Arabidopsis thaliana: one gene and its partners. The protein of the gene in region 1 purifies or fractionates together with the protein of each later gene. This does not show direct contact. Each region holds a gene or a part of one and is shown on either strand. Other genes may lie near its edges.

Evidence for each region. The genes of interacting proteins can lie anywhere in the genome.
Region 2: the proteins of AT1G78860 (region 1) and AT1G33600 fractionate together in Arabidopsis thaliana (co-fractionation; one large-scale study listed by BioGRID). This does not show direct contact.
Region 3: the proteins of AT1G78860 (region 1) and AT1G33590 fractionate together in Arabidopsis thaliana (co-fractionation; one large-scale study listed by BioGRID). This does not show direct contact.

The regions. Positions count from the first base shown.
Region 1 is NC_003070.9:29,644,674-29,650,412, reverse strand, and holds AT1G78860 (D-mannose binding lectin protein with Apple-like carbohydrate-binding domain-containing protein), read left to right. Parts: upstream 1-2,721; 5' UTR 2,722-2,913; coding exon 2,914-4,245; 3' UTR 4,246-4,410; downstream 4,411-5,739.
Region 2 is NC_003070.9:12,179,076-12,185,028, forward strand, and holds AT1G33600 (Leucine-rich repeat (LRR) family protein), read left to right. Parts: upstream 1-1,700; coding exon 1,701-3,137; 3' UTR 3,138-3,147; exon of another isoform or gene 3,148-3,525; intron 3,526-5,124; exon of another isoform or gene 5,125-5,132; 3' UTR 5,133-5,453; downstream 5,454-5,953. Other genes in the region: AT1G33590 (Leucine-rich repeat (LRR) family protein), read left to right, coding at 1-146.
Region 3 is NC_003070.9:12,175,935-12,180,128, reverse strand, and holds AT1G33590 (Leucine-rich repeat (LRR) family protein), read right to left. Parts: upstream 2,457-4,194; 5' UTR 2,453-2,456; coding exon 908-2,452; 3' UTR 501-907; downstream 1-500.

The DNA of each region.
Region 1 (5,739 bases):
ATTTTACGTATTTTCCCGCAACCTTTGTTTATTGCTAACCCTCCCTAAAGTTCTACTTATTTATTGATTTTTCCCAACAGTTTTCGAATATTACATAGATTTTCTCAGATTTCCGGGCTTATTGGTCCATCAAAGCCATTTATATGTGAGGCCCATATTTATTATAATGGACCTTAACCAAATCCAGTTTATCCATTAAGCTTGTCATTTTATATTGGACTTGTAAAACTTTAAACATTTCATTGGGTTGGGCCGATCTCGAAAGCCCATCAAGAATAATACGACTTTAAAGTAGCGAACTAGGTAGTAGGTTCACTGTGAGTTAGCCGTTGAGGATGTCAGAACGGTAACTATGACGTCAAAAGCTGAGAATTCGAAAACTATCCGTTAGTGATTTTACCCAACGGTAAAGAAAACTTGTCTATATATAGTAATACACACAACACAGTCCTCGTTACTCCTAAATTATCTAATCCAAACCAAGACATGTAGATAGAAACCTATTCTCTTTTTGTCTCTTGTTGTCTGATTCTCTCTTCATCTTCGGCGGCAAAACTCAGCCAATCATCGGTGAGTTACTTTGTACTTTACTTTACGGTGAAAAGCGAAAACTGTGTCTATGTAAAACCTTTGTACATTACCTTTCTGTCTCTATGTACTTTAATTTCCAGTTTCTTTCTTGTTGTATTGTTTGGGTGTTTTTAGTCGGAATTACTCTTCTTGGCTCTTAGTACTTTGTTTTGACCCATGTTGGATTTTGATTTCTATGTTATTCGTATTGTTGATACTTCGTTTAAAACTTATATGTTGACAAATGAATACGGTGCAATGCCTTAATTTAAACCATGAATCTTTTATTTTCGTTATTATTTATTTGATAATAGTCCTAATAATGTTTTTAATCAAGATATAATATTTTTTGCGAGGGATCATTAATTCTGATGAGGAGGACAAAGCTTCAACAAGCGAACAACAATATCCACTACTTAGAGAGCTAAAGCATAAACATGAATTGCAATTTCCGCCAGGTTAGTTTTCAATCCTTTCCAAAAATCAACTACTATCAATAATAATTGAAGCACTTTTTAGTCGAAATACTCATCACTCGAAACACTTTCTAGTGTAAACTTTTTAATTCTACTTTAATAACACACTCATAAACACTATATCATTTAGTAGTAAAACACTCAGTAACTAAAAAATATTTTCTTAAAAAAAGATATGATGCGGAACTTTTAATTAAAACTCACAACTAAAAAATTAAAATAGTTGAAACATACTTAGTAAACACCAAATTATTTTCAACAAAAAATAGTCAAAGTCGTAGCACTGAACCATTCAACCAAAAAAAAACACATTTAACAAGATACACACACGACTAATAAATGTGTATTTTCTTACGTCTTTAAAATTACATTAACACTTAATTAATTCAACAAAATCCCTTTAGCCAAAATTTAGTCGAAGCACTTACTCAAAAAACTTATATCTAAATCCGAACACACGTAAAACACTAGATCAATTTACTTAAAAGTCGAAACATATATTTCCAAGCATACTTCTAAACAAAGCATACTTAGTGAAGTACATTAGTTATACTGTTGAACACAATATTAAATCACGAACACGTACTCCTAAACTAGTCAGGCAAATTACTCCTAACATTTTAGTCAAAACATAGTTATTCGTAACACTTGAAAACACTTCCGCAATTCCGCATTTAAAGGCAAGTGCAAAAATCACACTTTATTTAAAAAAAGCTTATATAAAAACCGTTTTAGGCGAAGTATGAATATTACTTGAACAATTATTGTTTTTACTTCACATTTCGTCGAAGCGTCTGTTAGTCGAAGCCAAGCACAAGTTGAACCACTGTTAGTCGTATCGCTGTTAGTCGTTAGTCAAAACACTTTTTTATGTCATACATTTTGTACGTTGTTATTAAATGTTAACTTGATCGGGAAAAGACCACTCTGTTGCAGGTCGCACACCTTTAACAGTGATCTAATATATCAAAGACAAAAAAAAGGTGGATTGAGATTAATCATAAAAGGAAACAAATACTTTAACAACTTCTCAAAAAAATTGGTGATCAAACTCAGAAAACTAAAAATTGGAACATAGCAACTGAAGAAAATGAAAATGAGGATCTGTTTCGCATCCATATTTCGCAAACTCATTAAAACGTTAATTAATTTTAAAATAACCAAGTGTAGATAACGCAGCTTATCGGATCCGTTGGTATAACGTTGTATGGTCCTCAGTTTGGAAGGAGTGGCGATTTTCCGAAAATGGATTGATATAAGGCAAACAGATTGGTTCAGAGTAATTTCAAAAAAATCAATGAAACGGTATATGAAATAATGTACTTAAAATATTATATCAAATAGGCTATCTCTATGCTCACATCACATGCGTCGAATAAACAATTAAAACAAAAATCCAACGGGACGACCAATAGCATAATTCCGGTGGCTCGTAATTAAAAATTGGTCCACATTATATCAAAGTGCTCACGTACCCTTTCAAAATTCCAATTCCAACTAATGTTGCTGTGGTGCTACAGAAATAAATAAAAAACTATAGTTGAAAACTGACAAAACAAGTATAATTAATATTGACTCGCTTTATACAAGAAACATGTTACTTTGTACAAAACAAGTATAATTAATATTGACTAAAATGAAAATTATCACTTTATACCTGTTAAGAATCGATAGATTATCATACAAGTTGTTTCAAATTATTATACAAGTTTGTTTCACTTCACTTTACACCGAATAGCATTGATAAATTAATATACACCTGCTAAAGTGACGAGGTTTCAAAAGCATATCATTGCATCCTATAAAAAGAAGCTCACTCAGTATACTAAAACACACCAACATTCATCAAAAAAACACATAACAAAAAATGGAATTCTCAACCACATTAGCTCTGTTCTTCACTCTCTCCATATTCTTGGTCGGAGCACAAGCCAAAGTTCCCGTCGACGACCAATTTCGAGTGGTCAACGAAGGAGGCTACACCGATTACAGTCCCATCGAATACAACCCCGACGTACGTGGCTTCGTCCCCTTCAGCGACAACTTCCGTCTCTGTTTCTACAACACAACCCAAAACGCATACACTCTCGCTCTTAGAATCGGAAACAGAGCCCAAGAATCCACTCTAAGATGGGTCTGGGAAGCAAACAGAGGCTCACCAGTCAAAGAAAACGCCACGTTGACTTTCGGCGAAGATGGAAACCTTGTACTTGCTGAAGCCGATGGCCGCGTGGTCTGGCAAACGAACACGGCTAACAAAGGCGTCGTGGGGATCAAAATTTTGGAGAATGGCAATATGGTAATATATGATTCAAATGGAAAATTCGTATGGCAAAGCTTTGACTCTCCGACCGACACGCTTCTCGTTGGACAGTCTTTGAAACTCAACGGTCAAAACAAGCTCGTAAGCAGACTTTCTCCATCGGTCAACGCAAACGGACCGTACAGTCTCGTGATGGAAGCCAAGAAGCTAGTCTTGTACTACACGACAAACAAAACTCCAAAACCAATCGGTTACTACGAATACGAATTCTTCACCAAGATAGCTCAGTTACAGTCTATGACGTTCCAAGCTGTGGAGGATGCCGACACCACGTGGGGTCTACACATGGAAGGTGTCGACTCTGGTTCTCAATTCAACGTCTCGACGTTCCTCTCGCGGCCTAAACACAATGCGACGTTGAGTTTTCTTCGGTTAGAGTCAGACGGAAACATCAGAGTTTGGAGTTACAGTACGTTGGCGACTTCCACGGCTTGGGACGTAACGTACACGGCGTTTACTAACGACAACACTGACGGTAACGATGAGTGTAGGATCCCTGAGCATTGTTTGGGGTTTGGTTTGTGTAAGAAAGGTCAGTGTAACGCTTGTCCTAGCGACATAGGGCTTCTTGGTTGGGATGAGACTTGCAAGATTCCGAGTCTCGCTAGTTGCGATCCCAAGACATTTCACTATTTCAAGATCGAAGGAGCTGATAGTTTTATGACGAAGTATAACGGTGGATCAACGACAACGGAGAGTGCGTGTGGGGACAAATGTACGAGAGATTGTAAGTGTTTAGGGTTTTTCTACAATAGGAAGAGTTCGAGGTGTTGGTTGGGTTATGAGCTCAAGACATTGACTAAAACCGGAGATACTTCCCTAGTTGCTTATGTCAAGGCTCCGAATGCTAGCAAGAAGTCAGCTCTTGCCATTTGAAGCGTAAACAAAGGTTTTTGTGTGTCGTTTTGACGAATAATAAGGCTACGTTGTCCTTTGTTTTCTCTTTTCTGAAAAAGTGTTGCTATTGGTTTATCTTGTTTTATGATTGCATGTTGATTCTCAAGCTACACCGTAATAAATTGAAGTGAAACGCATCAGCTAAATTCAATTATTCTCATTATTTTACCAAAAAAAATAAAATTATTCATTAATTTAGTATCATCACAAAATATGATATACTTAAGGATTGAATTGAGAAATTGAATCATGAATGAGTTTAAGCTTTCATGTTTTCTGTTTTTCTTTTTTTTTTAGCTTGAGACCATATTTTGAAGGTAATGTTTCAAGAAAAACCTTAACTTTCCGTTGTGAAAAAATGTTTTATATTTTTATTAGACACTGATGCAATGCAGTAGAACGTGCACACAACACTTTGCTTCTCATGACAAGCCATTGAAAGATTCAAACTTTTAATTTGGATTATTAAAGAAGCGGTATAAATATGATACGAATAAGATGCGTGCTACGGCGCTTCGACGCCGCGTCACCTTAACAGAGATGGTCATCTGTCTCGTTTTTTTTTGACCAGTCAACGCTCTTATATATTTATTATACATGTACATAATGTCTTAAATCATGCAGACTAATAACTTTACATCGTTTTCGTTGTTAGCTTTGATTTTTAAAAGTCAACTTGAAAGATGCCAGGTGTTATTTATAGTTTATACATATCAAGCAAATGCTTTCTACTGCATATATTATCGATTTTTTTTACCCAAACATAATAATTAATTATTGAACAAAAGGTACACAGTACTTAACACTAATCTTCATTTTTCTTCATTTTGTGAGCTGATTTGGTCTAATTAAATCGATGGCATAAAAGCCAAAACCAGAGAAACATTGTTTATGAATAGAAATTTTTAGAGGTAAAAATTTAGCATTTGGAACCAAAGAGTCGGTTCTAATATAATGTATAAAGAACGAAAAATAAACGATAGAAATATTAACTGAACATTTAGTATGACGGTTTGGGACTTTGGGGTGACAAATTGTTGTACTATATTGAGCTGCCCATAAGCATTTGTATTTGTGAAACATTGCATATTAATTGGAGCTGAAGTATATACATATGCATAGCTATGAGTTAATTTTTCTACCTCGTCTCGAGACAATGCATTTTGAGGTGATTTGGTTCCCAAATGATGCCGCTCTAAAAAGGCTAATTAAGAAGTCAAACTTATTGTTGTTTTGTTGATGCCTCACGGGAATCACCAGATATGAAAGCTAAAATCTGATGATAAATGCATAACAAACAAGGCCATCAAATTATTAAAGGTAGTTCTTCAATAGAACCCACTTCAAGCAAAACCAGTAGCTTTACTAATGGAAGTTCAACAAGCCAGAAACTTGGGTTATTATGAGGTAACGTTTGTTGGAGATGGCAAAGCTTAATTTGTATGATTGTCACCAGTCAAGAAAAACACAGGG
Region 2 (5,953 bases), about 17 Mb from region 1:
TGCCGGCAATGGTGGCTGGACTAAAGACATTGAACGTGAGTCACAACCATCTTTGTGGAAAGCTTCCAGTAACAAAGTTCCCGGCCAGTGCGTTTGTGGGTAATGACTGTCTTTGCGGCTCTCCTCTTTCTCCTTGTAAAGCTTAAGCGGCAAGAAAGCTACAACTGGTAGTTGGATATTTACCGTGACCAATAAAGTTTAGCTCCAAATAAAATTTGTATTAAAAAGATTACAACAAATAAAGTAGTTTTATGTTATGAAGAAGCTTCATTCTAACAATATGTATTAGTGAAAGTACTCAAAGTAGTATTTAAGTTCTCAACTATTATGCATTTTTTATATAGCAGCTAAAATATTACTTTAACATGATAGAAAAATGATTTTAAAAAATAGAAGGAAAAACAGAGTAGTATTCTGATACAACATGCTCCAATTTATGTAACTTTTGCTTATATATTAAACTGATTATGTAGTATGCAACTCTTGGCTAATCTGTTCTCAATTCAGAATAGTCGCAACAAATGATGCAGTAAATAATCTATGTTTACTGGAATTTAACTCGCTCTATACAAAAAAAGAAAGAAAGTTATAGTGATATCTTATTTAGAACTATGCGTAATTTATTATTCTTCAGTGTTCTATAATTGGTTAACAAAAACCTAGTGATGAAAACAAGAGGAGTCCTTACTAGATAGATGCATATAACTTCATCACTACAAAATTTATTTGATCACAAATAACACATACCAAACAACAAACCAAGTAATCGATATATACTAGTATCAAACCTCTTTTTTCTCTTTACATACACATAACACAAGGTCATCCACAGGACATATAGCGTCTGCATTGAGGAATTAGACCATCTCTGAAGTAGGTTTCAACTTAGTATTGTTTTTTTTTTTGTCTAAAACACTAAAGTTCGATTAGACTAATGCATCCATATTCAATGAGACAAAGACATAGTAAACCAACCTAGAAAAATTATTCAAAAACTATACAAAAAAAGATAGTTTGAGTAATTGGTTCTTCCAAAACAAGACTAATGCATGCAGCATCTTAAAACTTCACCACCATAAACGAAAATTGAGTAATTGGTTCTTCCAAAACAAGCTAAGATTCCACTATAATTTCTTACGATAAACAAATAGATAAAGCTACTTATGTTAATGTTGGATTACGCTAAGAAAATTAAGGCATGAATCTATCGGCCCATCTCGAGGCCAACTTAGTCCACAATCTGGATCATTGTACTTAGATATATTTGACTTTTATTTTGTGGTCAATAATGTACATATTGTTAGACAAAAATAACATGTTAATAAATATTTTTTTTTTTTCAAAAATAACGTACATTTTGAGAAAACATAAATGAAATTTCTTTCCAAACTAAGTTTCATAATAGCCCAAAATATTATTTAAACATGATAGAAAACAATTGTAATTTGACAACAAAGTTCTAGAAAAATAAGATACATAAATCCTTTATCTATAATCATCAAAATATTATAAAAATCTGATGAAAGAAACTGTCTCTTTCGAGGGGTTGAGAGATAATAAATTCGACAACGATTACGGATATTACCACAACTTATTGCCACCACATGAACATGAATTGGTCAAAATCGGCAGCTCTTGATTCAACGTTTTCCTTCTATTAATAGCGACCAATTGTGTCTTTCAATCAACACAACTCAACCATGAACTCTTGTTGCTTCCCTCTCTTCATCTTTGCATTCGTTATCTTTCTCCGGTGTTTAAGTCCCATTGAAGCTGCCACGTGTCATCCTGATGACGAGGCGGGTCTTTTAGCTTTTAAATCGGGTATAACTCAAGATCCTACGGGTATTCTCAGCTCTTGGAAGAAAGGTACTGACTGCTGTTCATGGAAGGGTGTCGGTTGTCTCACCAACCGCGTCACCGGACTCACTATCAACGGACAATCTGATGTTACTGGAAGCTTTCTTTCTGGCACTATCTCGCCGTCATTGGCCAAACTCCAACACCTTGTTGGTATTTACTTCACCAATCTTCGAAACATCACTGGTTCTTTTCCTCAATTCCTTTTCCAATTACCAAATGTAAAACAAGTCTACTTCACGAATAGCCGTCTCTCCGGTCCTCTTCCAGCTAACATTGGTGCGCTAAGCGAGTTAGGAGAACTAAGTCTCGACGGAAACCTGTTTACTGGTCCGATCCCGAGTTCCATTTCCAATTTAACCCGGTTATATCTGCTCAATCTTGGAGATAATCTCTTAACCGGAACTATACCTTTAGGTCTTGCTAATCTCAAGATCTTGTTGTCACTCAACTTTGGCAACAATCGTCTCTCTGAAACCATACCGGATATTTTCAAATCCATGCAGAAGCTCCAATCTCTAACCCTCTCCCGCAACAAATTCTCTGGAAATCTTCCTCCGTCCATTGCATCACTCAAACCAATTCTCAATTACCTCGATCTAAGCCAGAATAATCTCTCTGGGACAATCCCGACCTTTTTATCAAACTTCAAGGTACTAGACTCATTGGATCTTTCTAGAAATAGGTTCTCTGGGGTTGTTCCGAAGAGTTTAGCCAATATGCCTAAACTTTTCCATCTCAATCTCTCCCACAATTTTCTAACTGGTCCACTCCCTGCCATGAAGAACGTTGATGGCCTTGCCACTCTAGATCTTTCATACAACCAATTTCACCTCAAAACGATACCGAAATGGGTGACCTCGTCGCCGTCCATGTACTCGTTGAAGCTGGTAAAATGCGGGATCAATATGAGCTTAGACAATTGGAAGCCAGTGAGACCCAATATTTACTTTTACATCGATCTGTCAGAAAACGAGATCTCAGGGAGTCTAACATGGTTCTTCAACCTAGCGCATAACCTATATGAGTTTCAAGCGTCAGGGAACAAACTTCGATTCGACATGGGGAAGCTGAATTTAAGTGAGAGACTAGAAAGCCTCGATCTATCAAGGAATTTGATATTTGGGAAGGTACCAATGACCGTGGCTAAACTGCAAAAATTGAACTTGAGTCATAACCATCTTTGTGGAAAGCTTCCAGTGACTAAATTCCCGGCCAGCGCGTTTGTCGGTAATGACTGTCTCTGCGGCTCTCCGCTTTCTCCTTGTAAAATTTAGCGGCAAAAAGGTACAATTTTGTAGTTGAGTACTGTAACACATAGCTCTGAATAAGATTTGTAATAACAAAATTAGCCTACTCGGCTACGCCATACATGGACATGATTTTTATTTTTTTTACTGGAATAGAAAATAACAAAATATTTAAGGGGAAAATCACATTTTAAACCTAACACTGAGCAGCACTTTAAACCTCAAGATATTTTCACTAGCATTATAAACCTCCAAATTAATTAAACTAACACTCTAGATCTCCAAATTAACATTTTTTGTTTGTACAGCCCTAAAAGATAACAGAACAGAACACTAACTAACAGAACATTAACAGAAGTTACAGAATAATGAACTTTTGTCAGTTAAAAGAAAAAGTAAAACATGTTTAGAAAAAATAATATTATGACCACTTACCATAATTTGTGATTTTTTTGTTTAAAAAAAACCTTATAATATTTAAGAAATTTGATAATACAGTACATAGCCATGTAAATATAAATCATGTTGATGTTTTAACAAATTATTGATCGGTTATTCTCAATTTCCAACATTAATTTGATTACTTTGTGGGCAGTCTAATCATTGGTGAGCTAAATATCTAAAATCTAGACAGACAAAATAATATCACATATAAACCAATAGTTTGATACATTCACTCTCGGTACCTACCCTACATCCAAGAAGTAATGAAGATCTTGGGAATAAATGTTCCATTAGAATCATGAAACTGGTGACTTTGTAGACAAGAAAACTAGAGTTATTTGTGTAATAATATGAAATATTAAAACTGTAGACACACTGAGATTTGCCTTATTATTCAAAGCTATAAAAACAAATGGATCTCGATGAACGCTACGGCATTCATAAGAGAGGTAGCATGCATCTTAAATGTCACTACCATAAACTGAAAACTGAACAAATCGATTTTCGAGAACAATCTAAATTTTCACTTTCTTAGTTCTTACAATAGGCAAATAGATAAAGCTACTAATGTTAGATTATGCTAAGAAAATAAAGCATAATGTTTACCTGACCATCTTGAGGCCAACTTATTTTCACTGTCTAGATCATTGCACTTAGATCGTTCTAAATCTAAACAGTCAAATCTTTCACTTCTAATTTAAGGTCAATAACGAACATTTTGTTGGACAGATTAAAATAACGTGTTGAAAAAAGTAAGACGAAAATAACGTACATAACTAGATTATAACCCGCGGTACACCGCGGAGACAATTTGTTTTTAAAATTAGTATATATAAGAGTCTGCAAATTATATTTATCTATAAAATATTTACATTTTATAGTTTACAATTGTTATTAAGTAATATCCTTCCAAACTCGTTCCACCAAACCCGTCCCGTTAAAAAAATCTGCGATACACCGCTAATTTAAATAAATATTTTACGGGATTGCAATTATATTTTAGTTTGTCAAACAAATTTTTTTTTTAAATGGTTGTCGAAATCTAGTTCAAATATTGGAGAAATAAGATTTAGTGAACTGATAGGAAATGTATTTAGGTGCGTTTTGCTCATTTTAAGGGATTGCAATTGTATTTTGGTTTGTCAAATATTTTTTGTTTTAAATAGTTTCCGAAATCTAGTTTAAATTTTGGAGAAATTTGCGTGATATATGGGATTATAATATATTTGGAATATTTTTTGTTTGTTAATCAATTTATTGCCAAAAGAAAACCAATAATTAAAAGGCAATGGCAGGTATTGTAAATAAGTTCGAACTCCAGGATTTATTTCACAAAATGGCTGCAAAAATGTATATATAGATGTTAGAGAAAAATCAAAATGGTTATTTTTCCTAACTAAATTCCATAATAAAAATAAAATTTTATTTAAATTTGATAGAAAGAAATACTAATAAGACAGTGGAAAAAAACTATATGACTTATGAGTTTTAATACAATGTAACAACAAAATTCTAGAAAAAGAAGATATGTTAAACCATTTATATAATAATCTGATGAAAGACACTGTCTCTTTCAAGGGATCCAGAGATGCTAAACTCAACAACGATCACGGATTATACCACCACGTAATGCCACCACATGCATATGACTTGGTCAAAATCGTCAGCGCTAGAGTCGATGACTTTCCTTCTATTAATAGCTACCACGAATGCTTCTCTCAATCAACAAAAACACACCATTAACTTAAGACATCAAGAAGCTCCACTACATGTAACAACGATAATCAATACGTATTATTGTATTAGTGAAAGTAGTATTTCAACCCTCCGACATTGTTTTCCATATACGCGAAATGTTACTACTAAAGTGAACGGCGAGGACTTCGGAAAAGATACTCGTATTTCCGTTTATGTATTTAACTTTTACAAAATTAACAGAAATTATCCAAATTTTCTACTTTTTTTTAAATACCCAAACTTTACAAAATACACATAACAGTTAGTCAAATTAATGAGTATAAGAATTAAATTTACTTACCTGGATTTTCTGATCCCGCGTGACCAGAATTTCTTGAACCGGTCCCTCGATCCAAAAATCCCGTCTGATTTTATCGGATATAATTAGTCAAGTCAGTCCATCGTCTGGATTAAGTCTGGACATAATAAGTGAACCGAAAGAATTGAACTGGAACCGAAGAAAAAAGAACCAAACTGAACTCAGACCAATTGTAAAATATTCAAATAGGTCCAAAATTCTAGAACCGAAAAAGATTATAATCAAACCCGAACCAAACCAAAATATTTTGGATACTCAAAAATATCCAATTATATATCCAAAATATTAGTTATTTTTAGATCGAATAACCAAACATATACAAAATACCAAAATATACTTGGAA
Region 3 (4,194 bases), about 17 Mb from region 1:
GCATGCATTAGTCTTGTTTTGGAAGAACCAATTACTCAAACTATCTTTTTTTGTATAGTTTTTGAATAATTTTTCTAGGTTGGTTTACTATGTCTTTGTCTCATTGAATATGGATGCATTAGTCTAATCGAACTTTAGTGTTTTAGACAAAAAAAAAAACAATACTAAGTTGAAACCTACTTCAGAGATGGTCTAATTCCTCAATGCAGACGCTATATGTCCTGTGGATGACCTTGTGTTATGTGTATGTAAAGAGAAAAAAGAGGTTTGATACTAGTATATATCGATTACTTGGTTTGTTGTTTGGTATGTGTTATTTGTGATCAAATAAATTTTGTAGTGATGAAGTTATATGCATCTATCTAGTAAGGACTCCTCTTGTTTTCATCACTAGGTTTTTGTTAACCAATTATAGAACACTGAAGAATAATAAATTACGCATAGTTCTAAATAAGATATCACTATAACTTTCTTTCTTTTTTTGTATAGAGCGAGTTAAATTCCAGTAAACATAGATTATTTACTGCATCATTTGTTGCGACTATTCTGAATTGAGAACAGATTAGCCAAGAGTTGCATACTACATAATCAGTTTAATATATAAGCAAAAGTTACATAAATTGGAGCATGTTGTATCAGAATACTACTCTGTTTTTCCTTCTATTTTTTAAAATCATTTTTCTATCATGTTAAAGTAATATTTTAGCTGCTATATAAAAAATGCATAATAGTTGAGAACTTAAATACTACTTTGAGTACTTTCACTAATACATATTGTTAGAATGAAGCTTCTTCATAACATAAAACTACTTTATTTGTTGTAATCTTTTTAATACAAATTTTATTTGGAGCTAAACTTTATTGGTCACGGTAAATATCCAACTACCAGTTGTAGCTTTCTTGCCGCTTAAGCTTTACAAGGAGAAAGAGGAGAGCCGCAAAGACAGTCATTACCCACAAACGCACTGGCCGGGAACTTTGTTACTGGAAGCTTTCCACAAAGATGGTTGTGACTCACGTTCAATGTCTTTAGTCCAGCCACCATTGCCGGCACCTTCCCAAATACCAAGTTCCTTGATATATCTAAAGTTGTCAGCGTCTTTGCAAACGTTAGCTTCCCCATATCGAATCGTAGTTTGTTACCCGCTGCCTTGAACTCCACTAGATACTCTGTTTGGTTCAAGAACCTTGCTGGACTCCCTGTGATCTCGTTTTCCGACAGATCGATGAAATCATAGTAGAATGTTTGCGCTGGCTTCCAATCGTCTAAGCTCATCTTGATCCCGCATTTTGCTAGCTTCAACGAGAAGATGATCGGCGACGAAGTCACCCATTTCGGGATCGTATTCAAGTGAAACTGGTTGTAAGAAAGATCCAAAGATTCAATGCCTTTAACGTTCAAGACAGGGAATGGATCGGTTAGAAGATTATGGGAGAGATCAAGATTGAATATCTTGGTCAGATTGGCGAAACTCTTCGGTATGACACCCGAGAACCGATTCTTGGAGAGATCCAATGTGTCGAGCGCCTTGAAGTTTGATAAAAAGTTTGGAATCGTCCCGGAGAGTTTGTTATGGCCTAACTCGAGGAACCTAAGAATCGGTGCGAGTGATGCAATGGACGGAGGAAGATTCCCGGAGAATCCGTTGCGGGAGAGAGTTAAAGATCGGAGCTCTGGCATGGATTTGAAAATATCTGGAATGGTTCCAGTGAGACGGTTACCTCCAAGGTTGAGATACGACATGAGCTTGAGATTAGCGACCCCTAACGGTATAGTTCCGGTTAGGAGATTATTGCCGAGTTTGAGTTGAGTTAACAGAGTCAAATTAGATATCGAGCTCGGGATCGGACCGGTGAACCGGTTTCCCTCGAGGCTGAACGCTTCAAGCTGGCTTAGCGCACCGATGTTAGCCGGAAGAGTACCAGAGAGACGGTTATTCTCAATGTATACGTACTTAAGATTTGGTAATTGGAAAAGGAATTGAGGAAAAGAACCAGTGATGTTCTTGAGATCGGTGAAGTAAATCCCATCAAGGTGCTTGAGTTTAGCCAACGACGGCGAGAGAGTGCCGGAGAGGAAGCTTCCAGCAACATCGGCTTGTCCAGCGACAGAGAGTGCAGAGACACGGTCAGTGGTGAGACAAGTGACACCGTTCCAAGAACAACAAGCGGTACCTTTCTTCCAAGAACTGAGAATACCCGAAGGATCTCGGGTTATACCCGCTTTGAAAGCTAGAAGACCCGCTTCATCATCAGGATGACACGTGGCAGCTCCGGTGGGATTTAGACATTGGAGGAAGATGACGAAGGTAAAGATGAAGAGAGTAAAGGAAGAGTTCATGGTGGTGAATTGTGTTGTGTTGATTGAGAGAAGAGAGCTATTAGTAGTGGGGAAAAGATTACTTGAGAGCTGCGAAGTCAAAGTTGACGTTTTTGACCAATCCATTTGCATCTGCATGTGACCATAATTATTAGTGGTATCCGTAATCGTGGTCGAATTTATCATTTTTCCCCGACACACTTGAAAAAGACAGTTTCATTAGATTTTTATTATAGTTTGTCTTTTCTTGACTATTATATATGCATAGGTCTTCTCTTGACAATTAACACGTCTTAATGTTTTGCTAAAAACAAAATTCTACTTTTTTCAGACTTCTTATAATATATTTTCGTTTTTTTTGGTTATATTTTGAAACTCCAGTAAGTCATAGTATTTTTATTTTTCACAACATTTCCGACAAAAGAAACTGTCATAGACTCAAGAGCCAAACGATTCTAACAGCAAGAACAGAGTAATTGATGTTCCAATACATGACTGGGCTGGACTTCCGCCAACTGTTTTTGGCGATGCAATAACACTTCCAGGAAACAATCAGTTTATACAAGACCTCCTTATTAATATTAAAATTACTAGAAGAATATTGAGCATTTATAATATTATATTGTAGCAGTTAATCGTGTTCTGCTATAATTTACTAACCAGCTAAAACGTTATAACGTTTGGTTTTCAAAACGTTATACTATCTTACCCCGGGAAATAAAATGACTCGGGTCAATATTTTTAGATTAGGGGTTATTATTCGATAGCACTAATTTACAAAAACCGCTACCTAATATAGTAGCGCGGAATGAAATTTTTTTGCTCGTTGGAGAATAAAATATTTGGTGACTTTTAACCCCGAAATTTTTTTCTAAGGCCAAAAAACATTGTTCGTGTTCTCACTGTTTTTCATCTCACTGTTCTTCATCTCTTTCAATTCTCTTTTTCAATTCTCTCTGTTTGTGTTCGTGTTCTTCAGCTGTCTGTCTCTCTCCCGTCTCTGTTCGTGTTCTTGCTCAACGCCTCAATCTCTTTTGGTACTCTTCAGCTTCTCAGTCACAGATCTGGTTCTAAATCGAGAAGGTTATGTTTCTTTTGTAATCGATTTAGGGTTTGCATTGTGAAATTGTCTGGTTTGAGTTTCGATTTGGGGTTTTAATCACATTTAGGGTTTGATTTTCAGGTTTCTCAGATTTAGGGGTTTCGATTTGGGGCTTTCGCTATCCGCGTTTCTCAAAGATTTCAGTGGCTTCTCTTTGACAAGTATGTTATTTAGATCGATTTCTGTGGTTCTTAGATCGATTTTGAGTTTCATATAGCTTTGAACTTGACTATTCTCATGTGTCGAATTGAGTTTCATATAGCTTTGATAGTGAGCATTCATTTGTATCGAATTGAGTTTCAAATAGCTTTGATAGCTTGTATTCACTTGTATTGATTAGAACTTGACTATTTTCAGTGACTATTGACTTGTATCGATTAGAAGTTGACTATTTCTGTGACTTTTCACTTGTATCCAATGGAACTTGACTATTTATGTGATTCACTTGTATCGAATTGAGTTAATTTCTGTGGTTCTTAGTATACGTGTAGCTTTGAGTTTATGTGGTTCTTGTATTCAATATAGCTTTGATAGTATTGAATTTTTGTTTTTGAAATTTCTCTTTGTGTCTTTGTTCTTGTATCTCTGTTAACTAATATATATATATATATATATATATATATATATATATAAATATTATCATATATATGGGGTTGGAGCTTGTTGGTGTTTCAAAAATGGATAAGAGTTGGGTATGGCTGCCAAGGAATAGCATTGAGTACGAGAAAGGAGCAACAAAATTTGTTTACGCATCATCGAGACGTTTGGGAGA